Linked DNA regions of Bombyx mori. The protein of the gene in region 3 purifies or fractionates together with the protein of the main gene of each other region. This does not show direct contact. Links are inferred from orthologs where the notes say so. Each region holds a gene or a part of one and is shown on either strand. Other genes may lie near its edges.

Evidence for each region.
Region 1: the proteins of DNA-directed RNA polymerase III subunit RPC6 (region 3) and DNA-directed RNA polymerase III subunit RPC8 purify together in Homo sapiens (affinity purification with mass spectrometry; 4 studies listed by BioGRID and IntAct, with this or other methods). This does not show direct contact. The link is inferred for Bombyx mori from reciprocal best matches to the Homo sapiens genes POLR3F and POLR3H.
Region 2: the proteins of DNA-directed RNA polymerase III subunit RPC6 (region 3) and DNA-directed RNA polymerases I, II, and III subunit RPABC5 purify together in Homo sapiens (co-immunoprecipitation; 3 studies listed by BioGRID and IntAct, with this or other methods). This does not show direct contact. The link is inferred for Bombyx mori from reciprocal best matches to the Homo sapiens genes POLR3F and POLR2L.
Region 4: the proteins of DNA-directed RNA polymerase III subunit RPC6 (region 3) and DNA-directed RNA polymerase III subunit RPC7-like purify together in Homo sapiens (co-immunoprecipitation; 5 studies listed by BioGRID and IntAct, counting the BioPlex papers as one, with this or other methods). This does not show direct contact. The link is inferred for Bombyx mori from reciprocal best matches to the Homo sapiens genes POLR3F and POLR3GL.

What each region holds. Positions count from the first base shown.
Region 1 is NC_085117.1:13,230,171-13,238,740, reverse strand, and holds DNA-directed RNA polymerase III subunit RPC8, read left to right. Parts: upstream 1-3,870; 5' UTR 3,871-4,294; coding exon 4,295-4,405; intron 4,406-4,516; coding exon 4,517-4,700; intron 4,701-4,792; coding exon 4,793-4,933; intron 4,934-5,739; coding exon 5,740-5,939; 3' UTR 5,940-5,954; downstream 5,955-8,570.
Region 2 is NC_085133.1:5,482,955-5,491,074, forward strand, and holds DNA-directed RNA polymerases I, II, and III subunit RPABC5, read left to right. Parts: upstream 1-3,281; 5' UTR 3,282-3,558; coding exon 3,559-3,653; intron 3,654-4,693; coding exon 4,694-4,802; 3' UTR 4,803-4,868; downstream 4,869-8,120. Other genes in the region: polyamine-transporting ATPase 13A3, read right to left, coding at 1,617-1,733. UniProt on the Homo sapiens protein: DNA-dependent RNA polymerase catalyzes the transcription of DNA into RNA using the four ribonucleoside triphosphates as substrates.
Region 3 is NC_085131.1:5,843,252-5,851,899, forward strand, and holds the start of DNA-directed RNA polymerase III subunit RPC6, read right to left. Parts: upstream 5,069-8,648; 5' UTR 4,963-5,068; coding exon 4,775-4,962; intron 4,610-4,774; coding exon 4,405-4,609; intron 4,329-4,404; coding exon 4,077-4,328; intron 3,672-4,076; coding exon 3,435-3,671; 3' UTR 2,936-3,434; coding exon of another isoform or gene 2,604-2,935; 3' UTR 1,520-2,603; coding exon of another isoform or gene 1,377-1,519; 3' UTR 1,310-1,376; coding exon of another isoform or gene 1,141-1,309; 3' UTR 1,054-1,140; coding exon of another isoform or gene 912-1,053; 3' UTR 1-911. Other genes in the region: putative OPA3-like protein CG13603, read left to right, coding at 912-1,053, 1,141-1,309, 1,377-1,519, 2,604-2,935. UniProt on the Homo sapiens protein: DNA-dependent RNA polymerase catalyzes the transcription of DNA into RNA using the four ribonucleoside triphosphates as substrates.
Region 4 is NC_085117.1:13,526,722-13,534,104, forward strand, and holds DNA-directed RNA polymerase III subunit RPC7-like, read left to right. Parts: upstream 1-3,404; 5' UTR 3,405-3,558; exon of another isoform or gene 3,559-3,680; 5' UTR 3,681-3,685; coding exon 3,686-4,339; 3' UTR 4,340-4,426; downstream 4,427-7,383. Other genes in the region: uncharacterized protein LOC105842656, read left to right, coding at 588-704, 1,175-1,314, 2,468-2,567; sperm-associated antigen 6, read right to left, coding at 2,620-2,691, 2,777-2,837, 2,916-3,061, 4,685-4,843, 5,151-5,303, 6,027-6,179, 6,876-7,049. UniProt on the Homo sapiens protein: DNA-dependent RNA polymerase catalyzes the transcription of DNA into RNA using the four ribonucleoside triphosphates as substrates. Specific peripheric component of RNA polymerase III which synthesizes small RNAs, such as 5S rRNA and tRNAs.

The DNA.
Region 1 (8,570 bases), on a different chromosome or scaffold from region 3:
ATTTATTTATTTAGTTGCAACAACAAAGTGATCATCAATAAAAATAATTTAAAAACTGACAAAAGTACATGGCAGATGTCACCTCAATTATAGGTGCAATCGACAGTGCATTAACATAAATGGGCTTTCTTAGAAACGGTTTATATTTCTTCGTTCTTGATAAGTATTTAGGGGCTGATATTTTTATCTGGGTTAAGAGATTAGGTGTGTCGGTTATTCCATGGATTAATCAGATGAATACCCCCACTCTAAACAAATATTAAATATTTTATTATGTATTACTTAGACATTTTTGTCCACCTTGAGATTTCATTGTTCTTGTTACATGTCCGTGAAAAATCGACTTACTTATATTAAATTACTTATCTATTTCAACTAAAGACTTATTCCCAATTTCATAGGCTTCTACTGCTGTTTTTAATATTAAAGGATCATATCTCATAAAAGGCTTTGCACTCTTTGATACGTACACGCGAGGCATATCTAAAAATAGAAAACAATATGTAGCTGATAATATAAATATTTACCAAACAATAAAATAACACATTGATAATTTTGAATAAAAGTTCTAGACAAAGACATCATGATTAAACCAGATTTTTACCAACAAATTTAAAAAATATTGTTATAACTACATAGACAACCCTACAAACCTGTACCTATTTATACTTAGGTCGTTTCCATTTCACGTATTCTTATCCCAATTGACCCCTTTTTCGTTGTTATTTGTACCTAAGACGTCCCCAATATCCCCAAAAACAACAGATTTTTACATGTATTTTTATTTTATCAAATACATTAAAACCAATAACAACTGAGACTCACATTTAATATATATGCTGGTTCAAACACTAAATAAAGTTTATAAATCACAGTCGTCTTCTATTATTATCAAATAAATAAAAGAGAGCAAAGTTTCTAGCACTAAAATAATTACCACCACAGGAAGTTAATTTGAAACGCGATTTTTTATAAGTTAGCAGCTATTATCATGCATATTCAGAGTTGTTTTGTGAACTTTCAACATTCTGCTATTAAACTACAAGAAATGTAAGATTTTGCAACGAATATAAAACTTATATTGAGCGTCGAAAGATTTTCCCGGTTTTTTCCCGATTCGCCTCTCAATCCCTAATCGCCCTATTTTACCGGTACTTAATGCTAAATTAATTTTTCAATTGCATGATAAAAACAATACGTAAATTTTATTTTATTTTATGACCTGGTAACATAGACCTTTACGTCAAATATTTCAAATAAAAACAATATTTTAGTTTTTTTTAATGAATTTTACGACTTGGTAACTAAGACCTTTAAGAAATGTCTTATTTTAATTTATATTCTTATTTTTATGAAAAATGTTAATATGGAGTGAAATGGAATGAAACGAAATGAGATGAGATGATATGGGATGAATTTCATCTCAGTAAAATGGTGGTACATAATTTACTGAGATTTTTTCAGTCGACTTTTTGGAGGATTCTGAGAAGTTACGTCCAGCGGCTTTAATTCATTTTCCCACATTTGTGCATTTTCACAGATATTAAACAGTTAATAAACCACCGTCATTACACATTTAACGAAACACTAAATAAACAAAATAAAACAAATCACACAATTGCACTCCTCGTGGTCCCGCCAAAGGGTCTTCTTTCTCTCATGGAGTTAATAGGTACTAACCATAGATTATACTTATTATTTGATAGGTACTAACTCTATGCTTTCTCTACAGAATCAGCCTCAAATTTTATTATTAAGTGTATTACGGCTGTCCAATTTCAAAACCTAGTATCTGACAAATTTAAAAAAAAGTGTGTTTTTGCATTTTTCGACCTTGTAGACCATTCTCCACATATTAGGATAGCAAAAACCCCCAAAAATTTGTAAAAAACGAAGTTACACAAAGTCGGAAACCTAGTATCTACAGTAAAGGTTTTCAAAATGCAAAAATTACAAGATTAGAACATAGTATATAACATCAACCATTTTAAAAACCTAATAAGTGCTTGTAGTTACTTGGATTTAAAATGGTTCATGCAGATACTAAGGCAATGAAATGGTTGAAATAAACGTCAAAACTCCCGCGAAACTTTAGTAAGTGAGAAAATCGTTGCACGTTGTTCGTGTTTTTGTCTATAAAATGAGTAAAAATCAGTTTTATAGGTCGAAATTGATCTTGAATGCTTTAAAAGAACAACATGGTGAAATGTAAGTACGCTTCAGTGTGTTTTATTATTGTCAAGGTTTTTTGTTTTCCAAAATTGCAACCTACTACGACACATAAAGTAAATGAAGGTGCAAATATTCCAGAGGATGTTAAAACTGCATACGGGGATCACAAAGCTAGAGCAAGTAAAGCAATACAAAAGTATCAAGAAGATGCCTCCCTAGAAAATACTTCCTCTGTGAGATACTATTCGATGGATTTACAAAAAGTTATGTTGTTACCCGACATGCCTAAAGTCAAAGAATCGTTTTTCTTGAGTAGAATGATAACTTTCAACTTGACATTTGCACCAATCAGAAAGAAAACGAATGTTAATAATATTTGTATTCTATGGCATGAAGCCTGTTCTGGACGAGATGCTCATGACATTGTTAATGCAATTGCAGCAATGATCGAAAAAGAAAGAGATTTTAATCATTTGATATTGTGGTGTGATAATTGCAGAGCTCAAAATAAAAATTGGATCCTCTTTACATCACTTGTTACTATAATAATCTCTGGGTTTTTCAATTTAAAAAGTTGGACTTTGTAATACCTACCTAACTAAAGATCACACAAGCATGTCGCTGATGGAGTTCATGGCAATATGGAGAGGCAGATTAAAAACAAAAGATGCTGTGTACGATTTTGAAGACTATAAGAATGTAATTTTGGGTTGCAAATCGCATATTGAAGTTATCGAATTCGAAAAATCGTATGAGTGGGTAAAAAAGAAACGCATACCGCGACGCAATGATGACCTTGTTCCCATTAATAATTTTTTGCTTAGTTCTTTGGTTGAAATAATATTTGTAAATGGGTGCCGTAATATGTTTTGAATGATTTTTAATCTCCGTATTCCGAGTTGAATTCTCTTATTAAAAACACAATCTCTTGATCATGCCAACCTTAAAAAATATTCCAAGAGGCATTAACGAAAGTAATAAGGAAGGCATAGTAACAACTTTATTTAGCTTAAAGAAGTTTTGGAGAAGAAGTCTTGGCAAAGTGTACCGATTAATAATAATCCAGTTAATTTAGTTTCTAGTGGACAAATATTAATAACCGAATAATTTATTTTTATTTGACTGTTTTCAAATATTTTGAGTGATTATTTTTTGATTTTTTACTGTGAACAAATAGTGTTTGGTTTCCGATTATGTGTTTTTTTTTTCTTTTTCATTAAAACTGCTTATTTCTGCCCATATTTATGTTGTTTTATTCTGTTTTTTCTTACTATGTTTAAAAAATTGCATTTAGTTCCTACTCAGTAAATTCAGACCTAAATGAAAACAAAGCAAGTGATCTTACTAAGTCTATTAATTTGCGTTTATCCCCACTCATTATATTTTAGAATTAGATGAAAACAAAGCAAGTGATCTTACTAGGTTTTGAAATTGTCACACTCAAAAAGTTTGATCTAAGAAAACAATCTTTTTATTAGTAACTGCTCCTCTACGCACATCTTTTGTGATAGACGCATGAAATCTACTTTTTTATAAAGCCTGTTATGCACCTCAAATTTTGCAATCACTCTCAAGAAGGTACGACTAATATTATTGAAACGGCACGCTGTCAAAGATATGAAATTGTTTTTCGGCTCTCCTGTAAAATTTAGTTTTATGCAGATACTGGGTTTTGATATTTCACAGCCGATTAGTATCGACGCTTGAAAGGCAAACGTGACTAGGTGACAATGCAATGACAATGCGTGAACTTTACAGTAGACTAAAGTTAAAGTTGGAATACCTGAAAAAAATCTATTTTAACGAATCTAGCTGTAGTAGAATCTAGCTAGTAGCTGTAGGATTGAAATGATTTTAATAGACCTAGAAATATATAGTTTTTGCGCCTCGAATATGGTTATTGCCTATCATTTATGTACAAAGCAGTTATTGTCGCTTAGTCACGTTTGCCTTTCAAGCGTCGATATGGAATGAAACATTGGAAGGTGGACTTAAAAAACTCGTACCCATGCCTTCAATTCTTAAAAAAAAAAGCAAAATAGTAAACAGAGCAGACCATAAAATCTTCAAAAACCGAAGTTTTAAATAGAATTTAATAGTAACATATTTATCAAATAAACCAATGTTTGTATTAGCTGAAATGAAAGATGTTATTCGAGTTAATCCAGAATACTTTCGTCAAAGTCTAACTGATTCTATAACAACTTTACTCAACAGAAAGTTAGCTAATAAGGTTCATAAATCATAACTATCCAAATTAATTTAACCGAATTAGTTTATCTAATTGTATTTATTATTAGTTGTATATTGTATAATATATATGTTATTAAATATGTATTTTCAGGTTGTGTTAGAAGTAGGTTTATGTATTGTACTGTTTGACATAACCAATGTTGGACACTCGTACATATTCCCTGGAGACGGTTCATCTCACACAGAGGTGAAATTTAGATATATCGTGTTTCGACCTATTATTGAAGAGATACTTATAGGAAAAATAAGGAGCTGCAGTAGAGAAGGCGTGCACGGTAATTTATCAGTCATAAAATTACATGTATACTCAATAATGAGACCCAAATGTAAATAAATCATGATTATAATTACTATTTAAAATTTTCAGTGACATTAGGCTTTTTCGATGATATATTAATACCAGTAAATGCTCTTCAGCATCCGTCTAGATTTGACGAAACCGATCAAGCATGGGTATGGGAATATCCTAAGGAAGATGGAGAAAAACATGATTTGTTCATGGACTCGGGTGTGTATTATCAAACTCCAATTAATTAATATACATTTAATAATTTTTAATAAATAAGTTAAAATTTTAAATATATGTTAATATCTATTAAAGTACACTTGCTGAGTGAAACACAATGTGTTGGTGTCGTAGTCTGGTCCCAGCATTAGCATTGCTACCTTTGTATTGTTTAGAAATGCCACAGATGGGTTTTCTATAATAAAGATTCCCGCAGGCAGGTGCCAATGCTTCTAATGAAATACGTACTTAACAAATGTTCACGAATGACGTCCACAATGATGGAATAATATTGGGTGATAAAAACCAAACTTGCAAAATTATAATTTGTATAATTAGGTAGTAGGACATCTTATGAGTCCACATGGGTGGACTCCACCACCAGCTGCCTATTTCTGTGTCAACCAGTAGTGTTTGGTTTTAAGGATGGAGCATGTGTTGCACTGTAAAAACGGAGACCATAGAACTTATGTCCCAGGGTGGGTGGCTGCATTTAAATTTTAGATGTCTATGTGCTTCAGTAACTACTTAATGCCAGGTGGGCCATGTGATTGTCCACTCATTTAAGCAAAATAAAATATGCCAAAACACAGGTTAGCACTGTTGACTAACAAAACTTAATAAAATGGGTATTTGTTTAGAAGACAATGCCAATAATAAAAGCACCTAAAAAACTACATTGGTGGATTGACACAATCTAGATGTAAATTATAATAACTACACAAATATTATGCCTTATCATCACTACAAAGATTCTTTTTACTGTTAACATTGAAAATCTGTACTTTTAATAATAAAACAAATTACAGGTGAATCAATAAGATTTCGAGTGACAAGTGAGTTTTTTGAAGAGAGCTTACCAACAGGTCCTCCAGGAACAGATTGTACAGTACAAACGGTAGCACCTTATAGACTGATTGGAGGAATAAATGAACCAGGACTTGGACTTTTAACCTGGTGGGAGACACCAGATCAAGAGGGTGAAGAGGATGAAATAGATGATGAATAAAATATTCAGCTTCTATTGTTATTTTTTTATTTGTACTATGTTTGGGGAAACGGTTTGTTAAACTTCTCTGAATGTCTCCAAAGGAAGCTAATCATAAAAGGCACATGGCAAGTCCATCTATCAGGAGATTGAAATTGTGAGCTACTGAGAATATACAGGGAAACTAAGAGGGTTTAGTTGCTGATTAAATTATTTTTTTAGTTTCGATGGGTGGACACACTCATAGCCCTAGTATTAAGTGGTTACTGGAGCCCATAGACATCTACAACGTAAATGTGCCACCCACCTTGAAATATAAGTTCTAAGTCCCCAGTATAGTTACAACAGCTGCCCCTCCCTTCAAACCGAAATACATTACTGCTTTACGGAAGAAATAGGCTGGGTGGTGGTACCTACACGTGCGGACTCACAAAGGCCCTGCCACCAGTAATTACGCAAATTATAATTTTGCGTGTAATATACTAAAGATGGGTTCAAATTCAAGTGACGTCTATAGGTTCTGGTAACCCCTAAAGATTGGAATGAGCCATCTGGAACTAATCATAAGAGTCAGTTGATAATAACTGTATGTAGACTTCCACTTTATTCAAGGAGGACGTTGATTATTGTCTGCTTAAGATTCGCTATTAATTCAAGAATTATAACCTCATTAAAACGTTAAAGTAAATTAAAAAGTAAAATATAATTTGCAACAATATTTATTTAACATGATTATATAATAATACATAGTGATTATATTCCATTATTTTATTATAATTTTAAAATAATAAGTAAATGCCAATCTTAACTTAAGAATTCGGCGTTATAAGTAGATACTATGCCATAGTAACCTTGTCGAAAAAAAACCTAAAATCACAGTGTTTTGACCTGGGTCTAAATCCTTTAATGCACCAAATTACAAAAAGTTATGGGTCAGGCATATGTAACCAACTAATGATACTTTTTGATGAGATCACTCAGTTCAAAAAGGAATAAAATAAAATCTAGAATAGTTAAAATTACTTTTACACTATCACTTTCTACAATATTAAAATCACCTTGCAAAATAAATAACAATGTGTTACAAAAAAAACCGGTTTGATCCTTTTCTGCTAGCTATACAGGGTATAGGTACTGTATACACTTAAGCATTATGTAAGTTAAGCTTGTGCAGTTTTGCCTGTACATGGGATTTTTTTGAATATTAGTGGAATTGTATGAAAATTTGCTATATTTGTCAGAATATGCTTGTGTAGATAAAATGTACTGGTAAAACTAAGTGTTTGTCACCAGCACTGGTCTTAAGTTTCTAGTGATTAGTAATAAATAATAATAGTACTATATAAGTCATTATTGAGCGCATCCAATACTGCTACGGTGGCATTATTTAGCTGAGAACTTTGACGGACAGTTGGTAAAAGTCTTTCTACGAAAGGATAATAATAATTAGCATTGTAAATTGGATTTCGTCACGTTTAAGATGACGGATTGGCCTGCGCTTTTTAATTTCAAATTTGTTAAATTCTACACGCAATTCTACCTTTTTTTCTGACTTGACTTTTAATAGTTCTACAAAGATTTCACAGATGTTAAAGTCACAGCTCATTAGAGCCACCCGGTACTCACTCCGCGGGCCTAATGGCGGGTGGACCATTCGGCGACAACTCGCTGCTATGCCTAAGTATGCCTAAGTATGCGACTTGCCTTACGATGACTGCGCATTGTCAATGCTGGCCACAAAAAATTCACACGAGAACGACACCAATAGTTAAACTGACTATAACTGGAAAATTCGTTGAACAAGCGACGCCCAGTCGTTAACCACATGGCGGCCACACGTGGACCACTTATCGACCACGTTTGGACGCCGCGCGACGAGGCGGTGGGGAGTGGGTGCCGGGTGACTCTAATGAGCTGCGACCTTTAATGGGCAAGATTTAATTATACTCGATACTACCACTTTCATTTTCACTGCCAATAAATTTTCTGACAGTAGTAGGGGTATTTCCAATATTATCCTATATATCTTACTGTTACATAATTAACAGTTTATATTTTACTACAATATATACGGAAAGATAGTTCTACATACATAATCTTATAAATCGCCTAAGATGATATGAGTGTCTACTGCCAATAATATTATGAGTTGTTAACTGGTTCTGAACTGGTAGTGAAATAGTTGTCCAAAATAAATTCACCCCAGTACACTGAGATGGTCACTCAAGACCATCAACTTAGGTAAGAAAAAAAAAACTGGTAATGAAATGGTTGTCCAAAATAAATGTCATCTAAAGCTAGGTTACAAATTTTAAATTTTTATGTCGATTATTAATCCTTTGACTATGCTTTATATAAAGACATTAAATACTTAGTATTATTAATTACAAGTATACACGATGAAATTTTCAAGTGAAATATGAGTCTCAAAATTAAAACCATGAGGAAAGACACAAAAAATTAAATTTTTTATGAAAAGCAAACCACCTGTTCAAAATCAATGTTATTTAACCAAGTTTATTTTCAAATCAATATGTTTCTTATCAAATACCAGACTATAATGATACAAGTTTTGCAGTTATATTAAAGTATGGCTTAATTTGTTGTGTCGGTTTACTAATTCAAACTTTAAGTGCCTTCAATTTAGATCCA
Region 2 (8,120 bases), on a different chromosome or scaffold from region 3:
TTGCCTTTCAAGCGTCGATATGAATTGATAAGTTTCTCTATTGTTCTCATATCAGTATTTTGTTTTACACAATACATTTTTTTTAATTATGTATATAATTCATAGTATAAGGATTTAAATTTCATGACGTAATTTCAAAAAGCGTAGATTATCTTGTAATTTTTTTTTTTCATATTTTATACCTAATTTCACACAGTAACAACATTTTTTGACATGAATGGGTAGGCAAGTCATGTGGTTTTTTGGCCTCTATCTTCTGAACAGGAGTTCGGTCGCGACCTGCGTGCGGGACTCACATGTAGACGTGTCATTCGCGTCTCCGTCCGCCGCGCAACGTGTCTGTGGCTGGCGCGTCCTCGAGGGGGCAGAGACGCTCTCGAACCATCGGTGCGTCCGATACGAGCTCTTCGCTTCCACCTCGTTAAACGCCCCGACCGAAGATGCCCGCAGCGAGGAAGGAGCTCCCGCGTAGCTCTTTCCCGCGATGGGCACTGAAGCACCTAAACAAGGTGCTCGCGGTGAAGGCGGCCACAGTAATCGTGTGGGCGCCGCGTGCCTAGTTGACTTGGAGTCGGCGGCCAACTGGTTCCGAGGTACGATGCATCGCGTCTGCGATACTGCGATGCGATGCAAAGCCACGTCTCACAGCATGAAGATGTATCTAGAGACGCTCGATCAGGATCTCTGGGGCACCCGTACCAAACCAACGCAAGAAATTGCGGCTGTGGGCGCTCCCGGTGACGAAGCAGCTTGGACAGCTGCGGGCTGTTCCCACACATGGGCATACTTGGGAGGGGTCCCATGGGCGCGCCGCCACGCGGTGACGTGACCGGTGACGCCCCTGCTGAGGTGGTCCCTCCAAGCATCTCGGAGGAGGAGATTCGTGCAACCGTGCCGAGGTTATGGGGCAAGGACACGACCCCTTGCCCTGACGTTGTTCACGGCGGGGCTAGGATTTGGACTTCCCTTGGGGAACTTTAGACCCTTGGGGAGCGGCTTGTGCAGCTCATTGAAGCCTGCCTTGAATCGGGGCAGCTTCCTAAGCTGTGGAGCAAGCAAGACAGGGAGACTTGTTTTGCTGAGGAAGGAGAGACCCCCTATGAATTCGCCTGCAGGGTACCGCACGTCATCAGCTGGGATCTGCATTGCCATCCACATTGCGGTCGTAGCTGTCGTCACCGAATATACTGTGGAAGACCAACCCAGACCGTAACACATTTTAACCCAGCAGGCTGGTTCTGACCCAGCAGGATAAAAGTCCTTCATAAAAACATCTTTGGGACCACAGTCTGTTCACAACATCTGCAGATCATTAAGTCCCACAGCTTCAGCCCAAAGCCCACAAAAAAAACCTGTGGTTTCACATTTGGCACCTCTTTATCACCAAGGTCACTTCCTAATGCAGTAAAACACAAGTTTCATCAGAATTAGGCCATTGGCTAATTCATCCTGGAAGTCAGAACTGTTTTTACATGACTCACTAAGCAAAACCACCCACCACACGAACCTTTTCAAATAGAACAGCAGATTTTTTGTATGTATATATGAATTAATTTGATTAAAAATCATCAGTAATTCAGTGTTTTTGATCTATTAAGGATAAAACTAGTCCTTACCTGTTCAAAATCAGGGTCAATGTTGATTAACTGTGTTGTAAGTTCTAAATACAGTGGTTCTCGAGAGCTATTTCCCTTATAATGTATCAAAGGTTGAATATCATCATCTGAATCCATTTTTTTTATTTCAATAATCGCACTACTTTGTAATATATTGTTTGTTTTTTTAATTTATCTAGTAGACTAATAAATTTAAATTTCATTACAGAAATGAAATCATATTAAGACATTTTTTTTTATACTTATTAAAATAATCTTAATGAATTCTTGTATTTCAATTGAGAACAAGGCTTTTGTTCATGAAATTAAAAATAAATTTAAAATTTCATACTGCAAAATTGCCTGATAACTGCACTGTCAGATATTTTTCACTATTATATCCGAATTAACGCTAAGGCCAGACCTTTGAAATTGTAAATAATTCAAAATACAACAGAAAAGTAAGAAAAATTATCACCAAAAAATTACAAAACCCCCTTGTTTGTTGTATTTCTTTTAATAATCTAATGTCAATTGTCAAAATATCATTTTTATTGATTCGTTCATATAGTACAGGCAAAGGAAATGGGACGCATACAGTAAAATGTTTTGTAATTTAAGCTGAAGCCAATCATCAGTCAAAGGTGAACTGGAACGAATAAACTGAATAATTGTATGAGACCGAATGGAAATTGTACGTTGTAGTTAATTTAGGGTTTCTTCAGACTTTAAAGCTTAAAATAATGGTTTATTAACCGTAAAACATTTGTTATAGTACACAAGTATGAGAAAATGGAGTAAAGCAGCTGGAAATGTATTTAGAACATATTTTTATGCAGCGCAGCATTGCAATGAGTCGATTCCTATATTGAGACGAAGCAGATAACACTGAAGGAGAAAATGAAATATACTTAACAACAACAACATCATAGGACTTGAATTACATGAAATTAAATAAATATCGCAGTAACTTATTATTAAGCAACTGACAGCCTAATGCATATTTTGGAAGAATACGAGAAGCTATGACTGACGTTCGTCTTTCATTTTCCCAAACTTTTGCATTTTCACATATTCCAAACGGTTCACAATTCACTCTCATTACACATGTAGATCTGATGAAATATTAAATTTACAAAATAAAATAATTAACTTTGGACTTTTGAGATTTCACAAATTCGATATGCTCTCCCATGCCTTAATGTACGGAATGAATGGTTGTTTTAACTTGATTTATTTACATTGAAAATTTGCCGATGATCACAAATGAAATGCTACGTACCATTTGACTGTCATCAATACTGATATGTTGCTGCAGGGATAAAGTCATTTTAACCTGAAATAATAGAGAAAACCATACATTTCACATTTTTTAAGAGACTGGCTTAGAAAATTTCTTGATTACTTATTAAAATATTCTAATAATAAGTAGACTGCTCCAAATATGCGTCAATCAATTTCACTCAAACGTTAAAAAGGAGCATATCTTACTCTCTAAAATCCAACCACTAAAAGTCAGTTTGGAAATTTAAAAAATAATTATGTACCATTCAAATGAAATGAACATTCATTCAATGTTTTAAAATGTTTTAAAAATAAAACATTAAAATTTGGTTCTATAGACTACATTCCTTTTGCCGATTGAAATCGACAAACAAAAATATCATATTTTCTTGTGACACTGTCATCTTTAATCATAAGTCATAGACAATACAATATGTAATCTATGACTGTCGTTGCGAGTCTAAAAAGTTTTTATCTCGAAGTAAAATAATATTATTGTGAATTGTAAAGAATAGAATTACAGTGTTTTCTCATTAAATTTAATGATACTTTGTAACTAAAATATCTTCTATTATTATTAAAAGTAAATACGTTTTATAAACCAAATAAATAGTTAAAGCATTGATACTTTATAACCCCAGTGCCTCACCACAACTTTAGGTTGTAGGAAATAAACAAAATGATTATTCCAGTACGATGTTTCACATGCGGGAAGGTTATAGGAAACAAATGGGAAGCTTACTTAGGCCTGCTACAGGCGGATTACACAGAAGGGTACTGTACAATTTAAGTTTTGCAACTGGTTTTTATACTTACCAATATTCTAGAACTTTAAAATGGAAATAACTGACATACATAATATAATGTAGTTATTTGATAAAAATTCAGCAAGAAAGATAAAACAGCTCCTCCCAGAAACAATATTAATGTTCTTATGAATTCAAATGACGGAATATGTAGGTGATTCCTGTTAACTTGGGTTTTTCTTATTTGCCAACTCATACTTACAGCCCACCTATCTTAAAGTGGTTATCATAATCCATAGGTCACAAGGTGGTAATTTTTTTTTTTTTTTTTTTTTTTTTTTTTTCCTACCTAAGCTGATAGCCCTAGCGGCTATTTCAGCGTAGCCTTAACTTTAGTAGGTGAGCTCACGGGGCTCAAACCTGACGATGTTGCTAACACGAACCCTAGCAAGAGTCGTGCTTCGCAGAATCTACCACCGGATCGGAAACGCGACCCACTGAGAAGATCCGGCGAGAAACTCAGTGGGCTGTGTCTGAGAATTAATTTACTCGTCGAGCCCTTCGTCGCAAGCGACGGGTTCGACGAGAACGGTGACCGGTGCTTGAAGTACCTAAAAGCACCGTTAGTGGATCAGGAGGATCCGAGATGACGTGTTTAGGGCGACGTCGACTGCTTTCCATTCTGTCCGCAGGATCGGGAATGAGGTGGTAATGATGGTAGATCTTGACACCAGATTAATCTCTGGACTGTTTTGCAATATCCAGTTTGAGTGTGAGGAAACGGAAGCATATAAGTGATAAATGTAAGATGATATCCTACTAGACAAGTAAGCTATGTAAAAAGTGGCCCGAGTTGATATAATCATTACTACCAACTGCAGCAATGAAATAAGATTGTTAATGCTTGTTAGCTTTGAGTATTCTTATACCTTTTTTAATGTGTTTATAGGCATAAGATTCTCTTGATAGTGATAGATTACTGGTAATCATCGAAGTCAGTTAAGCGTACTGTATACAGTAGATTTACTATGTGAATGTTAATATTTAATTGTATTTTTTTACTTTCAGTGATGCTTTGGATGTCCTTGGATTGAAAAGATACTGCTGCAGAAGAATGTTGCTCGGACACGTGGATCTCATTGAAAAACTCTTGAATTATTCCCCATTAGAAAAATAATGAAATATTTTTTAAAAAACACAATTAAAAATAAAAATCTATAATTGACATAAATTTTTTAAGATATTAGAGTTTTTCTTTCATACCTATATTAATCACCGCACAAAGGCTCTTGATTTACATGCCTCCCATTGTCAATGGAAAGTTTAACACAGTATTTATTTTAACTGGTCAAAGTCTCAAAGCCTAGGACATTGGTTCCTTCTGTCTATTTGTGAAGAAATTCTATCTCTACTGTATATTTAATAGCCAAAATTATTGTAAGCTCTAACATTTGAAAAATGACCTGCTGTTTGCTTCTTTTATAATCTGCATCAATTGAGGTTTGTATACGAGTGCGTGGGTGCAGGTTTTTGTCAGCTTATTAATATTCTGAATCGTTAAAGCCTTGAAACTATATAAACTAAATAAGAGTGATTTTTTCATGTACCAAAAAAAACTAGAGTAGGTTAAGACTAGTTACAAAAATTTTATTGTTATGAGACTTGTTTTAATTGCTTTTTACTTGTTACGGCCAATCCACATTTCATTATTGCTCATTATCAGCTCGTCACACACTTCAATTATCAATTTCTTTTATAATTGAAATTCAATCCTTTTTGACTTTGCCAAAATCCAGTTTTATAGTCTGTGGTTTTGGTTGTGCCCAGATGTCTTTTGGTGTGGTTTGTACTCTTGTTTGTTCTTTTATAGGCTTCGTGATTGCACAAGGTCACATAAATTTTAATTATTATTATTTTACAAAGTAATCAACTGTTGAATTACTTACCTAAAACAGGACAAACAATATATGAGGCCTATCAAATCAAAGGCAGCTAAATGCCTTAATGTCGTAAAATGGATTTACAATGGCGTTATCTTGTTTAGTTAGTTGGACACGCCTTAGTGTTTTCATGTTATAACAAATGCAGCTAAATCTCTAACAAATTCAGTTCCAAAATTTTATTATTACTCTGTACTAAGTAATAATAAACGAAGTTTTATCATTTAAAATTCAGATTATTAGTAATATTCTCATTCTTTATAAATGTGCTGTAAAATAAAGAATATCGTAGCTATCCGAACAAAGTTATTTCAGCTTCTCAAACCGGGAGTGTTGCTAACACTGGCCCTAGCAAGAGCAGTACTTCGATGGATCGGGAGGATCCGTAATGACGTGTTTAGGGCCCATTTTTGTAGTTTACCTGAATATTTGACAGACTTGGATTTAGCTGCCTTTGATTTTATAGGCATCATACATATATAACAAAAATGATTGTTAGAAGGTTAGTAAGGACAAACAACTTATAGTCTAATGTTATTCTGGTGAACATATTCGCATAAAATATTTAGATAAGGTGTATGTACAAGGCTCAACAAAGATTTGAAATTTGTCGGTCTGGGGATAGTGTCCGGTAGCACTTCGTAAAGGGAAGGTCTTCTAGGGCAGTTAAAGAAAATGTGTTCTGCTGATCCCTCGTCGAGCCCACATTCACAGAGGGAACTATCCTTGACCCTTATTTTAGCTAGGTGAACCGGGGCACAAGCATGACCTAGTCTTAACCTACATATTGTGGACGTGACTCTCTTGTTGGCTTTCCTATATTTAAAAAACCAAGGCCGAACGAGCAACGAGTCTTGAACATCCGCGTAATGTTTACCTCTAATGCGTTCGAAAGGTTCCACGCTTCATTTCAGCACGATATGAGATCGGCCTTAGCTAGAGACGTTAGATCTTGTGCATAGGTTGGGTAATGAGTATCACTACCTATTGTCGTGGCATCCTTAGTACACTGATCAGCACCCTCATTACCCACTATACCGCTATGTCCCGGGATCCAAGTTAGGGTGACTTTTATGCCAGACACGTGACACCGAAAAAGAATTTCTTTGATTTTCAGAACAAAAGGGAATTTGACTTGGATCTGAGTTGGTTTGCAAGGATAGCCTGTAGGCAGCTTCTAGAGTCAGTGAATATCACCGTGTTGTGTAGCTTATGTGATTCTATATACATCAGGGCTTCAAGGATAGCTAGCGCCTCTTCTGTAAAAACCGAGGCTTGAGGGGAACACTTAAAGCTTAAAATGATTTAGTACTCCGGTATCCAGACAGCGAAGCCTACACAGCCGTCAGCTTTTATTTTTGATGAGTCAGTGAACATAGTATGCCAACCATTTCACTTACTATTGACGACAGAGTTAAATTTGGCGTTTGCACCGGGGTCATCTTTGTTTATTCCGATATTTAGAACAATGTTCGGGCGGTATAGAATTGCATTATAAGGTGTGAGGAATAAAGGATTTAACCTACATTGATAGACGGACAGGGGAGGCTGATAAACCTAACAAAACTGGTGAAGAGGCATGGGTGGGACTTATGATTCCAGTAACTGTTGAAATAGATGTGTTCCGAAAGAGTATGTAACTTTTAAATAAGGGGGTGGTTGGAAAGCTGAAATTTTTGGCAAATGAATCTGTCCGATAAGTACTGTCTCCTTAAGTGCAAGGGGGGTTCTGCACATTCGACCTGAAGTACGTTGATGGGGGAAGACTTCATTGGTCCGATTATGATACGTAGGCACTTTGATTGGATCATGTCCAAGGAGGTTCAGGCAGACTTATTGCAAGGTTCTAGAATGTGGGTGCCATAATCAAAATGGCTGCGCATCAAGGCGTTATATAACAGCTTTTGTGTGTAGGGGTCTGATCCCCACCATACGCCTGACAGGGAGCGAAGGATATGGATGTTCTTTTCGCACTTTTTGATGATGTGGTTAATGTGTTGGACACCAGTCATACGCGAGTCAAGAACGACTCCGAGAAATTTTACTGAGTTTCGCACTGGGAATATAATTCCATCAAATGAGACAATGACGTCGGGATTAGATCGCATGCGAGAAAATGTCACTACACTACTCTTCACAACTGAAAGGGATAGACCATGATTACCTAACCAGTCATGGAGATAGTTAATAGCGGAGTTGAAGCGAGCAGAGGCATCCCCTAAGTCCCTGGCTGAGACGTATAGAGCCAAATCATTCGCATATTGTAGTACCTACGTTTCAGAATGAATTTACCGAAAGTTCTAGGTCGTAGGTATACAAGTTGTATAGTAGTGGGCTTAAAACTGATCCCTGAGGGAGGCCCTTCCATAGAAGTCTAGGAGGAAGTAAAGAATTTTGGGAAGAAATTAAAATGGCTCTAGATGAAAGTATATTAGATATGAAGTTAACCATCTTCTCTGGGATACTCAGCTGGAGCGTTTTTTGCCTGAGTACAGGAAGAAGGACATTATCGTATGCGGATGCAATGTCAAGAAAAACCTACGCTATCCATAGTG
Region 3 (8,648 bases):
TTGGAGGAGGACCTTGGCCCTCCTCGTCTCCCTCTTCCTCTCTTAAGGCGCTGAGGCCAACATAACCCGGTCCAATGCTCCCCTCGACCGGGTATCCGTAAATGGATTCCCGGTCCAGTACTTTCGGAGACGAGCACAAATAAACATAACACGAACAAAAAAATCCTAAAAATTGCAAATGATATTAGGTTTCCCGTTCCATTTTATTACTTTTGTTCAATGAATATATGAATATACATATATAGTGATAGATTTGCCTTGAAGCTTAACTCACAGAAATAACTAAGCATGGTGCGTTTTTCGGGGATTTTTTCTCTACCTAATAGATGGGGGAGTTATTCCAGTTACTCACGGACTGGTAGATAAGCTCACGGGCTCAACCTGAGAGAGTTTACTAACATTGGGCCTAAAAAGAGTAGTGTTTTGCAGAATCTGGATCGTTTTACGACCCCGAAATTGCCAATTTATTATGGCAATTTTGCGAAGCTTAGGTACGTAAAACCCAATCAGAATAGGATTTACATAAAATCTGTTCCTACTGAGCGTCTGTGTCGCAAAAATATGTATGTCAAATTTAAAATCATCGGCCTGGTAATTTCGAACTTGTAAAGGGTGAGTGGAAATCAGCTTTTTGTATATAAATAATAGATTGAAACTAATAGATAAAATATAATAATAAATATTGGGGCCAGCCTAAAATGTGTTACTCTTGGGGATAAGTGAACAAGGATGTATTGTTTAATGCCGAAGAAAAACTGTCAATAAGTTAACTGTCAAATTTATCAAATGTCCAAAACTTTACGACGATTTTACGAACCCTGGGAATAAATAATTGAGATTCTGTAAACCATTGTGAAGGACTAAACCGAATTTTTGGATTTATTGTATTTATTTTGAATAACCCATACAATATGGTTGTAGGGGCGTTTCCAATAGCTAAATTATCTGTTTTGTTGGTGAAACAGATAAGTAAACCAATCGCGAACGTGTGCAAGGAGAGAGCCAAGAATAATCCATTTTTCAGAACTTATGTTTGTATGCCTCCAGCGCAATGTAAGTAATAATGCTTTTCACGTTTCCATATAAAATCATTTTTATACATAAGCGAAACAAACCTTTCTCATGTACTTTTTTTCACAGTTTACAATTGGTGTGAAGTTAAAGCCAAAATGTGGATTTTAAATTTGGGAAAACCTGTCAATATTCCTGTTTTAAGCCAGGAAATGGCCATTGAACTTGGAGCAAATCTTCTTGGCGAAACGGTTATATTCGTAATTGGTGCTAGCCTTTTAGTGATCGAGTACAATAGGTATGTTTTCACAGTATAAAAGGTAAATTTAAAAGATGTCTCGAAATTGTATTTTGACTATTTTTAGGCAAAGTAAAAAAGAAGCAGCCAAAGAAGCCAAGCGTGAAGAGGAGATGAAACACATCACAAGTACTATCACAGATTTGTATTTTACTGTGCAAAAACAACAGACACAACTCCGAGAAATGGAAAGGCTTATTCATTCTATTGGTATGTTGTTAGTAAATAAAACTAATTCTGTTGCACCTGTAAATTTTTTTGGAACCATTTACATTATATAATATGGTCTTTTTGGTCTTTTCTTAACATTATAAGGTTTGAATGAAGACTTTGAACTTAAAATGATAATAGTGTTATTATGGGTCGGGTTTATACACTGTATAAATATGAGTAAAATTTATTTATTTATGAACAAGTTATATAGTTGGTTGAAAATATTTACCAAACTGCCTTTTTTGCATGTTGCTATGTCTATAAATCTGATGTTCAAATGAACTGTAATTGGAAATGTGGTTATAAAAGCCTAGTCTTCACCCATAGATCAGTTATAGACCAGCTAAAACTATCATTAAGCCACTGTTGTGGAAAAATAATAATTTTGTTTAAATATATCTTAATAGAAGGTTCATTGTTGTTATTTGTTGATTTTTAATGTCTACATAATCAATATGGACATGTGCTTCACAAACAAATTGGACCATTTTTTATTTTCTATTTTCTATAAACACCAGTACATAGAGATGTAAAATCATACAAAACATTTGCAAAATAATTTATACTGCCAATTTTATTATTCTCGATTTAGGAAAAATATAATATAAAGTACTTTATAGATAGAATCTTTCATATATTTGTAACCTGTTCTTTTAATTTATTCAAAGATACTGATTTATGATGGTGTTAGCATACATATTTCTCAGACACTGTAATGCTTCCCAAGGGCAGCAGTAAGAGTTAAATCTTTACTTTTTGCTTATCACTAAGTTAACATAGTTCCAACTAATTCGAACTGTTGGTTTGCAATTTGTTTTGTTGCTTCTGACTGGCGCTAAAACTCAATTTATGAGTATGGTTGGTACTTGAGTCTGTCATGCATATTTATTGCTTGATATCATGTGGTGTACAGGTTCTAATTATTTTATCATCTCAGAAATTGTAATATTATCAATATCACACACTATGGCATGGAAATATTTAAACTGGTGACAAAGCTTGCTGATAAATTTTTTCTTAGTATTGATTCTAAGAACAATGTAAATATATCAATCATCAATTTATTTTCTATTTTTAATAGGTGGAGATCAAGCACCCAAAAACAGCCCATCCTCTGACAAAGATAGTACAAATGGGAGATCACCACCAGATGCCACACTAAATAATCACGTTCCTGAACATATAAATCACAATTCACCAACTCTTAGTCCCACACCTTATCCAAATAAAGGCCTAATATTGCAGTCGTTGAATTATATACAAATGGACGCATTTAGCTCATTTTTCCCCAAAAATAATACTGAATATGAGAAAGAAAGAGATGAAGATAAATTTACAAGAAATAGGAGGGAGCCAGCTGTACTCTCTGGTATTTTGCATAATATCGAGAATAATTTTAGAAGTTTATTTTGAGGATTTTACAGTATAAATTACACATTGTACTTGCATTAAAATGTTGAAATGACCACTAGAATGTTAAATAATTTGTTGCAAAATTGTTGTTGACCATAACTAATTTGCAATAAATTGCTTTAAAACAGGAGCCTTCTGTGTGACAAGTTATAAAGTAGACTTTTCTCAGTTAAAAGTTACGTAATTTTAACTATATAAAATTATCTACAGTTATAAAAGTATTGGTTTTTCAAATGTGCACACAATATTCATATTGTAACTAAGTATTCTATTGTTAAGTAATGTTCTACAAATATCTGTTTTAAAAGCAAAAATTTTGAACTTATAATAGAATTAAAATAGTATGTGTTTTCAACAGAAATATATTATTTAATGCTTTTAAGTATAATGTCTCTAGTCACAATTTAATTTGTAGAGGAAGCTTATATTCTTTTAACTAGATCAATGATACTTATTTAAATAGGTATTAAAAATGTTATTAATTATATTTTTTTTTTAATTATTCCAACCATTCAGTCATATAATTACAAACTTGTGGAGTAATTAGTCCTGAGGAATTACATCTTTGAATCAAGGGGCATATTCCACATGGCACTTGAACAAGGCCTGAAGATGGTATAAGAGTTTCTATAGCTCTATATACATTACTTCCATCGGGAAACACACTTTTTTCTACCTTCCCATCATACACTAGGGTGTTTAAAATTGTTGTTACATCATCAACATCTAATACAACCTGTAAAAGAAAAGTAACACTAACAAAACGTTGATGTAATAATAAACATCATATAAGTAGATATAAATGAAACATTAATTAATTAAATCTACATGGTATTTTAAAATGTTCGCTGACCAAGTTAGTGTATTGTGGTAGGACCTCTTATGAGTCCACGCGGGTGGGTACCACCACCCTGCCTGTTTCTGCCGTGAAGCAGTAATGCGTTTCGGTTTGAAGGGTGGGGCAGCCGTCGTTACTATACTTGAGACCTTAGAACTTGTATCTCTAGGTGGGTGGCGCATTTACGTTGTGGATATCTATGGGCTCCAGTAACCACTTAACACCAGGTGGGCTGTGAGCTCGTCTATCCATCTAAGCAATAAAAAAAAAAAAAAAAGTTAGTGTATGTTTGTAAAATCTTACTTTACTAATTCCCAGATCAGTAATATATTTTTGGACTTCAGTAGCAGTAGCATAAGCTTGTGTTCGTCCAAAAACAGGTCCCCTAGGATTGTTTCTCATATTATCAGCTCTTTGACTCAAGAACCTGTGGCATTGTACATTGAGGACATCTACAAACTCGGATTCAAAGTCTTGGTCTTGGTACCAAGCTCCCCCTGTCAATGATCTATCTGGTTCCAAGTTGTAAAGCATATAAACCTTCTTTTTAGAGGCCTGTGAATTAACCAGGTTTAAATTGTAAGTTAAGTATCAGATAGATCTTCGTTGATTTAAAATTAAATTTACTTACATTAACACATTTCACAGCTTTTATCACTTTTTTACTTTCCAAATTTTTGAGGACTTTAGTCAGTTGAGTGTTTGCAAGATTCGAACGGATCCTAATATCTCTAATCCAAATTCCTTTATTTCCTGCTTCTTCAATCAGATTATAGACTACCTTTTCTTCATTATCTGCTCCTTTGATTGCGTGCTTATTTGTTTGAGTTTTCAACCTAAAATGAATAAAATTTAATAATATTATTATTATTAATATTATTTCAAGTTCTTTGAAAATTCTTCTCTAAATCTTCCAATTCTTCTCTAAAAATTCTATAAATAGACTATATTTATTAGTTACGCTAATATCTTTAGACACCTTCATTATTTTGCTAACGTACTTATAAATTAAAGATCCGTTTTGATTAAATAAATCAAAACGTTCTTGTTTCAGCAGATCATTTAAAGCAGTTACTAGTTCTACTGATGATATGCCAGGTATTTCAGCAATTATATCCTTGTCTGTAATTCCTTTCGAGCTTTTTCTTGCAAGATTTAGTATTTTCTCTTTTGTATCTTCGGAACTCATTTTTGGAAAATATTAAGCGTTTGTGTATTAGATTTATTAGAATATGCTTTGGGGCTTGGGCTAAACCATGGAGTTAATAAGTACCTTAGTTAGAATAGTAACTCTATGGGCTAAACAAATATATATATTTTTTAAGGGATTTTATGACCTGGTAACTAAGACCTTTAAGTCATGTCTTATTTTAATTTATATTCATATTTTTATGAAAAATGATATTATGGAGTGAAATGAAATAAAGATGATTAATTTGAGACATTAATCAACTGGGATGAAATTAAATGAAATGAGATGAGATGATATGGGATGAAATATAATCTCAGTAAAATGGAGGTCATTTACTGAGACTTTTTCAGTGGACTTTTTGGAGGATCCCGAGAAGTTACGTTCAGCGGCTTTGTTTCATTTTCCCACATTTGTGCAATTTCACAGATACTAAGCAGTTAATAAGCCTGAAGAAACACTAAATAAACAAAATAAAACAATACACACAACTTCACTCCTCGCGTTCCCGCCAAAAAATTAATTTCAATCAGCCACCTTGGCTGAAGTTTTTACTCCTTTTTCACAAAAATGTAGTTTTGTGACTCTTTGATAAGACACGCCTCACCAAATCATTACTGACGCAGGATTATGACTACGTTGTTCCTTTGATCACTTGAGCAGAACACTTCTTTATAGCACTTCTTCAGAACGGTGTGCATACCCTAAATTATACTATCACTTTGCTTATTGTAGTGTTCTTCAATCGTGAAAATTGTTTTATTGGTAAAGAGGATATTTCTGTGCCATTCACCTGCACACAAGACGTTTGGATCGATCCACTCTCTTTAATTGTAAAGATCGATTTAGGTCATGTTATGTACATCGAGGATAAGCACTGAACTTCAGGTCTTGTTTTATAATCTGCGACAGTCCTAGCGGGAATCATCATTTTTCGCTGTTGCGACGAATTCTGGCTTTAACAGCATTAGTAGCCTTTGTAGCTCTAGCACCACGAGGCCGCCCCGACCTTCTCTGGTCTTCGACAGACAAAGTGTTTTTGTATCTGTTCATAGTACAATTTACGAACATACGGCTGATACCAAGCTTTTGAAGTGTCTGGAATATGACCGACGGCTCCATATCCACTTTGTGTAAGGCGATTACTGCAAACCTATTTTCTTTAACACCCTATTCCATATTGTAATTTGATAATGAACACGAAAAAATATGTGAAATGGCGCAAAATCGAAAGAAGTTGAGGGAGTTCATATAGAGTCTTTCTTTCGCCGTAAAGTCGTGTTTTATGTAATTAACACCACAGTTGAAACAATATAAATTTTATTGATGTAGCGGCATAAACAATTCTAGCTAATTATATTATATTAGTTATTTTACACATTATAAATTGTTTTTACGTTTTAAATATTTGGCGGTAAAAAAAAGGTCCCGTGTCACAGACTATATTCTGTTTCCCACCTCTCGTGCGTTCCGGCTTACGCATCATAAAAAGGTGCGTACTTAAACGCCACAAAGTTTTTAAAATAATATACGTGTTCCAAATTCAAAATCATTATATAGTTGAAAAAAAGAAGTTTTTTTTGTAACAGTATTTATGGCTCGATTGGTTATATAACGTTAGGAAAAAAATATATTGTTGGAGTTTGTATATTAAATGTAATGGCAGGCAACACTTGACACTTGATTAGATTTCGAATATTGGAATTAATTTAAATGTTTAAAAAAACAGATCATTGTATTCTCGTAAGAAAATGTCAGAACTTCTCATCTAGACACGGCAAGACAAACATGTAATAGTTTTAATAAGTAAAAAAATATAAAGATAATAATTGTATAATGGTTTAAAAGTGTTCAAGCAATCTGCAATATAATTATAATGAAGCAGTTGTGTTTTTAAATAGTCCCTCATCACCTACAGAACCCAACCCCTTAAAATGTAACCATCCAACAGGTTATGGGCCCAGCACGCTTCCACTGCGTTACTCTGCTTTCTCGACTCTAACCCTTAACTCCTTCTCGACTCTAACCCTTTGTATCCAGCAATAATTTAATTAGCTTTCTCCAAGCTTTATAATTATCCTTATTTGTGAAAGGTTTTATTTTTATTTTAAAGGTAAAAGAGTCGAGTAGGAGTTAAAGGTAAAAGAGTCGAGTAGGAGTTAAAGGAAGGTTATAGAGGTCGAGAAGGAGTTTAAGGTTATAGAGGTCGAGAAGGAGTTTAAGGTTATTAAAGAGGTTTGGAAGGCGTTTAAGGTTATTAAAGAAAAGCGCGGGAAACTTCGTTTATGGTAGACGTATTTTTCACGGTGGTGAAAATTTAATTTAATTTTATAGTTAAAACGCGGAGGATAAGCTGGTAGTGTAAGTTTTTGTAATATATGTAATCTTTGTATCATATTTGTGTATAGTGTCATCGTATAGTTGGTAAGTTTTTGTAATTTTTGTAAATATTGTATGAACGAGCCCCCCGATCTCGATCGGGGGGATGATGGCTATGTTGGCCTGAATCTCCCCGTGGGATCATATGTAACTGTTGTTTCACAAGATGAATTTGATAAAATGGATACGGATTGTTCGTTATCATCTCAGACAGGTGAAGGAAGTCGTAAACGAACACGTTATCTACGCCTTTGTCGGCAGTGTACGAAAAGGAGAAATAAGAAAGGTGGTTCTAGCGGTGATTACTGTCAGTGCGAAAGTTTATGCAATATGGAAGATGAGTCAATTTTAATAAAAAAGATTACTTCTAAAAGTTCTAAACCTATATCTCAATCGACGTCATCTTCACACTCGCAAAATAATATTAACTCACATAAAACGTCCTCTCAACCATCAACATCTTATACGGAAAATTCAAATATCTCTCAAGACTCTAACGCGGGAAATTCAAATATCTCTCAAGACTCTAACGCGGGAAATTCAAATAACACGAAAACTACAGTAACCAATACAGACTCCCGTTGGATCGGCCGGACTGAATATGTTCTTACTGATGTTTCCCCTTATTTGATACACGTTCAACGTATACAAAGTTCACCTGATGACGGGACCGTTCTCCATCCTATAACTTTCGGCAATTTTTTAAAGCAGAACAAATTTGAAAATATTATTCCCGGTAGTGTAAAGCGTATAGGAAGAAATAGGTGCGTAGTTGGCTTTTCCGATTATAAAGACGCCAATAACTTTCTTAACTGCAATCTTTTGGAAACGAAAAAGTTAAAAGCCTTCATTCCGACTTTCAACATAACAAGAATGGGGCTAGTTCGTGGGGTCCCTGTAGATTGGAGTGTAGACGAAGTTCAACGAAATGTATCCGTTCCTATAGGCTGCGGCAAAATACTTAAAATAAGACGTTTGAATCGCAAGGTGAAAATTAATGACTCGGTTTCTTGGAAACCCTCTGAATCCGTTGTAATAACGTTTGATGGGCAAGTTTTACCAAAACGGATTTTTATGTGCTATAATGCTCTTCCAGTAGAGATATATATTTTTCCTACAATACAATGCTATAAATGCTGTCGTTATGGTCATACCAAAGTACAATGTCGTTCTAAGACTCCAATATGTTATAACTGTGGAGGTCAACATGCAGGTGTCTCATGTGACAGGTCAGATGAAGATCCTGTATACTGTGTAATGTGTAAAGTTGAAGGGTCTCATTCAGCGATAGACAAGTCATGTCCAGA
Region 4 (7,383 bases), on a different chromosome or scaffold from region 3:
ACCGCCAAAAATGACAATTCTTTCAAATCTGGGTTGTCAAATCAAAATAATCAAGATGTCGCCAATCAAATGTTCAAAAGTAGTTCATTGCAAATGTTATAGAACATAAAGTTTTGACAAAGGTACCTTTTAAGTCGGGTCATGGCAAATTTAACAATCTTTGACAAAGTCGCCAGGTTTCACGGTATTTTGAAGATGGCATAAAATAAATTTGGCTGATTATCAAACTTAAATTGGTTTTTTTTTTTTATTGCTTAGATGAGTGGACGAGCTCACAGCCCACCTGGTATTAAGTGGTTACTGGAGCCCATAGACATCTACAACGTAAATGCGCCACCGACCTTGAGATATAAGTTCTAAGGTCTCAGTATAGTTACAACGGCTACCCCACCCTTCCGCTTTTTGATCTTATTGATCCTTATTGATCTTTTCCGTGTACTTTTTCCACATAGTAGTAGGTACAAAGTGAAACAAAAATATAGCTTGTTTATTGACTTGTATTATTTTATCACTTTAGTATTGAAGACTTACCATAACCGGTAGATAACGACAGTAAGATAACAGCTAGTTTCCTGTCCACAATTATCATGTACAGTTATTCAGTTTGTGGTGGACATTTGGTAGTATACCTTCATCATTTAAACATGCATTACATATTACTGACTGAGCTAGAAACTGTTGGATACACTTCTTGTAAAATTCAGGTAGCTTGTAACCACTAGTATACTATTAGATACGTATGTCCTCTCGACTAAAGTGGCAATAAGCAACAAAGTATATGTGTTCAAGTGCATTTAAGTATACCTACCTTATTATAGGTAATAAATATTTTCATCACCAGTCCAAATTATTCAAAAAAGTGAAATTTTCTATTTTAAGACATGTGCACCACAGGAGAACGTCTGTCGAGTCGAGTAATTGTATATATCAAACTAAAATTATTGTTTTATGTAAATCTAAAAGTACTAATAGTTTTTCTCATCCAATTAATAATACATCACATGCGTCAATTCTTTATTGCGACTTATAATAACGTACCTGCCTCTTATAGGTCTGCAATAGTGCTATTTAAAATGCTTACAAGTATGTAGCCAGTTTAAATTCCTCCCTGGCGATTGTGTGTAATGGCCAATAGCTTCCACAATAATTCGTTTTCTCTTTTTGTAAATCACAGGGTTTAAATGCAAATGAATTAGAATTACTAAAGACGAATTTAATACGACATGACATAAAATTCCTTCAAAACCAGAATTTTCACGAGATCGAAGCGTTGGGTGTACGCATGTTAAATCTGTTGGCTGAAAATGACTTTAAGTGAGTATATATAAACTATAAGGAACACATCTTGAAGTAACTTCGTCAAAGGTAGCTTAAAAAAGTTTATTATCTTATCTTATACCATCTCCTTGAGACTAAAAAGTCTGATGGTATAAGATAACAAGGATGCGATGCAGTGTGAAATATCTAGTTCCAATTTAAGAGCTTAAGAATTCTTTTTTTTTCTTCAAGTTTGTAGGTCTAAATAAAATATTTATATTTACTAAATTCACGCTCGTAATTATAACTATCTTTACCTATATATAATTCTACTGTACGTGTGTATGTCACTGAACTCCGCCTGGACCGATTTGAATGAATTTCTATTCGTTTGGGTGGCGCCCTGGATGGTTTAGATTCACAAATCAACCCCGCAGATGGCGCTGCAGTCGGTATCTAGGTTATTTCTCTTTCCTAAAAACCCAAAAATTTAATGGCAAAACAACCTTTGCTGGGTCAACTAATATTTCATATATGTGTACCTATTATATATTTATAGTTAAAAAAATAGAACACTGATAGCCATGCAGATCTATTATTCTTACCAAAGTAAAATAGGGGTAGTGACGCAAGAAACGTTTGGAGAGAAAGTAATCCCTACTGTCGAAACGGGTTCCGATTTTTAAAGATAATGCTATAATTTATAATTATAATATAAATTCTCGTCATCGCGAGATACATGAATCTGCTCGTCTATATATTGGCGCGTCTAACGTAGCCGACTGAAGAAACATTTAGATACCTACGCTTCTATTTTAGACACTATCCATAACTTTACAAAATAAGTTAAAAATATTGGAAAACAGCGTTCTCTGAGTGTTAAACAACCGTATTGCGATTGGTAATTGATATAAATTGGTTTATATTGACGTAATGTACAATCGCATTCTGAGTGTTTCTATCGCGTAGCTGTCCTGCATTCTAGTTTGAAGTGTGGACCAGCAGTACCAAAATGGGCCCTTAGACCTTTTGTCACCGACCGGGTGGTGATATTCACGTTGTGATGTCTTTGGGCTCAGGTAACTACTTAACGCTAAATTGACTGTAAGCACACACTCGTAGCGAATTGGATAATACCCTCTAAATCGGGCAAGATTTTTACCGCAGATAAATCGGTCTGTGTACAAATTTAACCATAATCCTATTGCAGTTACAGAGTATTGACTCAATCAATGGTAATAGAAGAATCTAAGATTGGTGGAAGAAATGTACAACTACAAAAAATTGTTTGGACTATGTACAAAGAATGAAAATTGAAACAGTATTAATAAATTGTATTTAACAACATATAAGAAAAATAAACTAATTTCTTTTCTCTATACTCATTTCGCTTTGGCAATCACTCGGCACCCGATCAGTAAAAAGTTCTGGTATCTATTCAACAAAAGAAAGTTACATGTTAATACATGAAAACTACAAGTGTCTATCGAAAATATATACATAAGAGTTTATTCCATACTTGTGGTGTATACGCTTCAACTCTATCCAGCAAAGAATCTGTGTAGCCGGGAGTATAATATCTGAAAATGAAAAATGTATAAAAGCCCACAGTTGAGATTTGAGTAGGACAAATTTTCTTTTAGTAGGTAGTCTTTTACCTTACTATTTCTTCAGGGAAGCAACTGTTTATGATATTAATATACTCCTTCAGGGACGTTCCGGGCACTGTTTCAATTTCTTGTATTCTTTTCAATGCTCCTGTTGTAACAAAAAGCCTTCTAGCTCTTGCATCGTTGGGTAGAATCTGAAAAAATAAAACGAACATAAATAATCTACTTCCTTATACTTTCATTATAATTTGTATAATAATTTCTGAACTGAACAGTTTTTCAGAAATTATGAAACTCCATGAAATTTAAATGGTACTTGCAAAAGACCCTAATAAGAAAAACATACACATTTCTTGGATTTAGCCTGCAAGAGAATGATTCGCACGTATATTTTGTTCTAATAAATGATGAACCTCATTACGAATTACTACGGTAATTGGTTCACGTTCTTCAAATGATGAAGGCAATATACATAGGCTTATTTCATGTCATCTCTAGTTTATTCTTATTTCACGCCATAGTCAATTTCAAATTATCAATAATTCTCATACTGCTGCATTTTACGTTTTGAAAAATAAATAAAGCCACGATTTTTTTTAACGTTGGCTGTATGAGCTACGTCTCTATTACCTGATTTATGAAAGAATTAAACGAAAAAACATCCGATTCAAAACAATAACAAATGAGTAGGGTACGTAGATACCATAGATTATACACTTAATATATTTGAGATAGGTAGATACCATCTGGAGTTTCAAATTTAAATAGATTAACTATCACCAAATTGTTTTCTGATCAAAAAATCGATTACAGTTACAATGGCAGGTAGAGGACGAGGACGCGGGGGTAGCGGTTTATCATTAACTACTGAGCAAATACAAGCCTTAGGTGTGACACGCGGCGACAATGCTCCTCCAACACTTGTGCCGCCACCACTGTTTCCAAAACTTGAGAAAAAACCACTACCTCTTATATGTGATGCCGCCACTGACTATATGCTCATTGTCAAAGATCAGTTCATTGAATATCTACACGAATCACCGGCATTTGTTAAAGTCAAAACAGAGACTGACGGTGTAGAGCGATATTCTGATAAGTACAAAATGTTAGCACTTGATGCGAAGCAGAATAAGTTATTGGATTGCGTGTGGGTTAACATGCCTACCGAATTACGGCCTCAAGCAAAACGTCCGCGTACTGTTCCGAGGAAAAGAAAACTCGATGATCCCGAAGAGATAGCAAAGAGATTACAAACGCTTGAAAAAAAAGAGACTCTGGAAACAGATGAGGCGATAGACGGCAAAAAAAAAGAATTAAACAACGAAAACGTAGATGAAGAAGAGGAGCTGGAAGATGAACATGAGCAAGAATACGAACTAGATGATGGTACTGACTATGCAAATAACTATTTTGATAACGGGGAAGATTATGAAGAAGAAGATGATAATTTGGATGATGGACCTGTTTACTAGGAAATATATATATACAAATTTATATTACACAGTTGAAACTGATTGATCTTGCATATTAAAAATAATTACAATTAACTGTTAATCAAATAGTTTTCACTTTTAATTTTTACTTTCAAATATTCTTTATTAGCAATTTGAAAAACAGTCCCGCCTGGTAGAACTCTTTAAAAAATAGAAATAAATGAATATTTCAGCGAAAGAAGTTTACTACTTAAGTAACTGCTACATCATATTTAAACGAATCAATCGTTAATCAATCGAAAAATCAATCATTACTGATTACTGGAGCACTGTTTCATTTGAAATAGTGTATTATTGTTATATTTGCCTAACTAGAATAATTACCTTTGCATACTGAGCTAGTACATATTTCAATATACAAGCAGGTGCAGAATGTAACAATGTCTCTAATGCAGGTCTATGTAGACAGCATTGTAATGCCTGTTTCAATGCACATGATGTCCGAGCTTGTACTTCTCCTGAAGACTTTGGGTTTGTGTAAAGCTGTAAAATTAAACTAACGATGTTTAATTTAAATATAATTTAAATATACTTTAAATATTGACATCTATCTACGTATATAAATGAAAAGATTATAAATGTGCTATTTGCACATGTATCAGACAAGTATTAAAGACTGATGACAATAATATAGTAATTTTATTACTTTGGCTTAATATTGTGATCAGAATTAGTACATCGAATAAAAAAAAAACGTTATGTCAATTTTAATTCTGCTTGCTGTTAATTTTTAAACCACAAATACTTTTACATCTAAACTAATCTAAAGTAAGAATGAGGTCAACCTAACTTGTAACAGTCTAGGTAGAGCATTGGCCACAGCAACAGCCAGACTGTGTTGTGGTGAGTGTTTTGCGATGTGGCCTAATGTCCAAGTAGCTGCACACAACTCTGCATCTTCTGCATCTTTCTTTTGTAGAATTTCAACAAGTGGTGTAATGGCCTAAAATTGATAGATACATTTTTTTTATTTATAAAACCAGAAAAGGCAACACAACAGGTCACAATTTGTGATGATTGATAACTTAAATAGTGTAGTGAAAAAACTTAATAAGATTATTTATTTCATATTTTTTTTTAAATTCAATGTTTCATAAATTGACTAATAGTCTCAGTATTACCAGTTTTCACTCATAAATATATATAATAAGTTATGTTTATGGCATCGACATAGGTATAAGCCGTGACGGATTTAGGCTTGATGGCGCCCTAGGCCCTGTTTATCGCGCCGCCCTCAATGTTTGAATAAATTTTATTAATTTTGATTCAATATTTTCATTTTAAATTTAAATTATCTTTATTTCCTTAAAATATAATTTTTGAATATCATCATCATCATCAGCCTTTATCTGCCCACTGCTAGACATAGGCCTTCTCCAATGCCTTCCACAGCATGCGGTTCTCCGCCTTCCGCATCCAATGACTTCCCGCTGTGCGCACTAAGTCGTCGGTCCACCTGGTTGGAGGACGCCCCACGCTCCTGGTACCCATCCGTGGCCTCCATTCGAGGACTTTCCTCCCCCACCTGGCGTCGTTGGTTCAACAGACGTGACCGGTGACCGGAGACGTGAAATTAAGTTTAAAAGGTATAATATATATAAAAGGTATAATATAAATATTAATATTTTATTGAGTTGTGTCAAACACAAATGTAAACTTTATTCACCTTCGATTCTATAACTGCCATTGCGAGCTGATCTGATTGCCCTGCAATAAATCCTAGTGCCATACAAGCTGGGACTCTTGATCCACCCGTACTCTCTTTTAATAGTTCGACCAAAGGACCACATCCACCAGTGTTCACTACTAGCTGAGCCAACTAAATAAATTGCAAATATTTCATAGTTAGGTATTAGTAAGATTATGGATTATTTCTTTCTGTTTTGATTTTATAACAAATAACTGACTAATCGAACGTAATGCTATGTTTTTTTTACCCAATTATTTAACAAATAACAAGTTTAGTAAATAGGAATTAAAGTAAAATAGTTTGCTTTCGAATCTCTTCTTTCCGTGAATAACATTTGTGATCACTTCATACGCGCTGATCATGTTGCTCTTAAACATTATTTCGTTCACAACAGTATCATGCGCTGCTCGGAACCTACCTTAGAAGCTATTTACACTAAAACTCTACCGATATCAATTCATCGCAAAAAAAACCTGATAAATTACTAATATAACTTAATCGTCGAATTCACGTGGGATCGGTATTAACACTGCATTACGATTACCTAGCAATAAATTTATATAAAACCACTAGCTGAACCGGCAAGGCAGACTTCGTAGTTCCTCAATCGACAAATAAAACACCTAAACTTTTGCATAAAATAAACTTAAAACAAACAAAAGGAATCCGTCCGACGTCCGATTTTCATGTTTATCTACCTTTTAAACCTCTGAACTTCCACAAATAATTCAAGACCAAAATTAAGCAAATCGGTCCAGCCGTTCTCGAGTTTTAGCGACTAACGAACAGCAATTCATTTATATACATATAGATATAGACTCTCACATCGACCGAATGCTTGACAATGTCCCTCAGTAGACAGGCTGCGGCACGCCTGACTGGCGCTGCGTCATGGCCGGCGTGCAAGAGGGCGGCGGGCAGTGCACCACCAGCCACTACTGCTTCAGCCAGCTCAGACCGTGCGCTGGCCACTGCACTCAGTGCGCATAGTATACTACGCTGCATTCCCAAATATTTCAGTAAACGTCTGTTATTTATTCATCACTAGCTGACCCGGCAGACTTCGTAGTGCCTCAATCGATAAATAAAATACCTAACCTTTTGTATAAAATAAACTTAAAACAATCAAAAGGAATCCGTCCGACGGGGGACACATCAAAGGAAAAACAAAATTGTTTTTTTTTATTTCATTCCGAGCATTTTCAAATTTATCTACCTTTTAAACCTTCTCTGGACTTCCACAAATAATTCAAGACCAAAATTAGCCAAACGGGTTCAGCCGCTCTCGAGTTTTAGCGAGACTAACAAACAGCAATTCATTTTTATATATTAT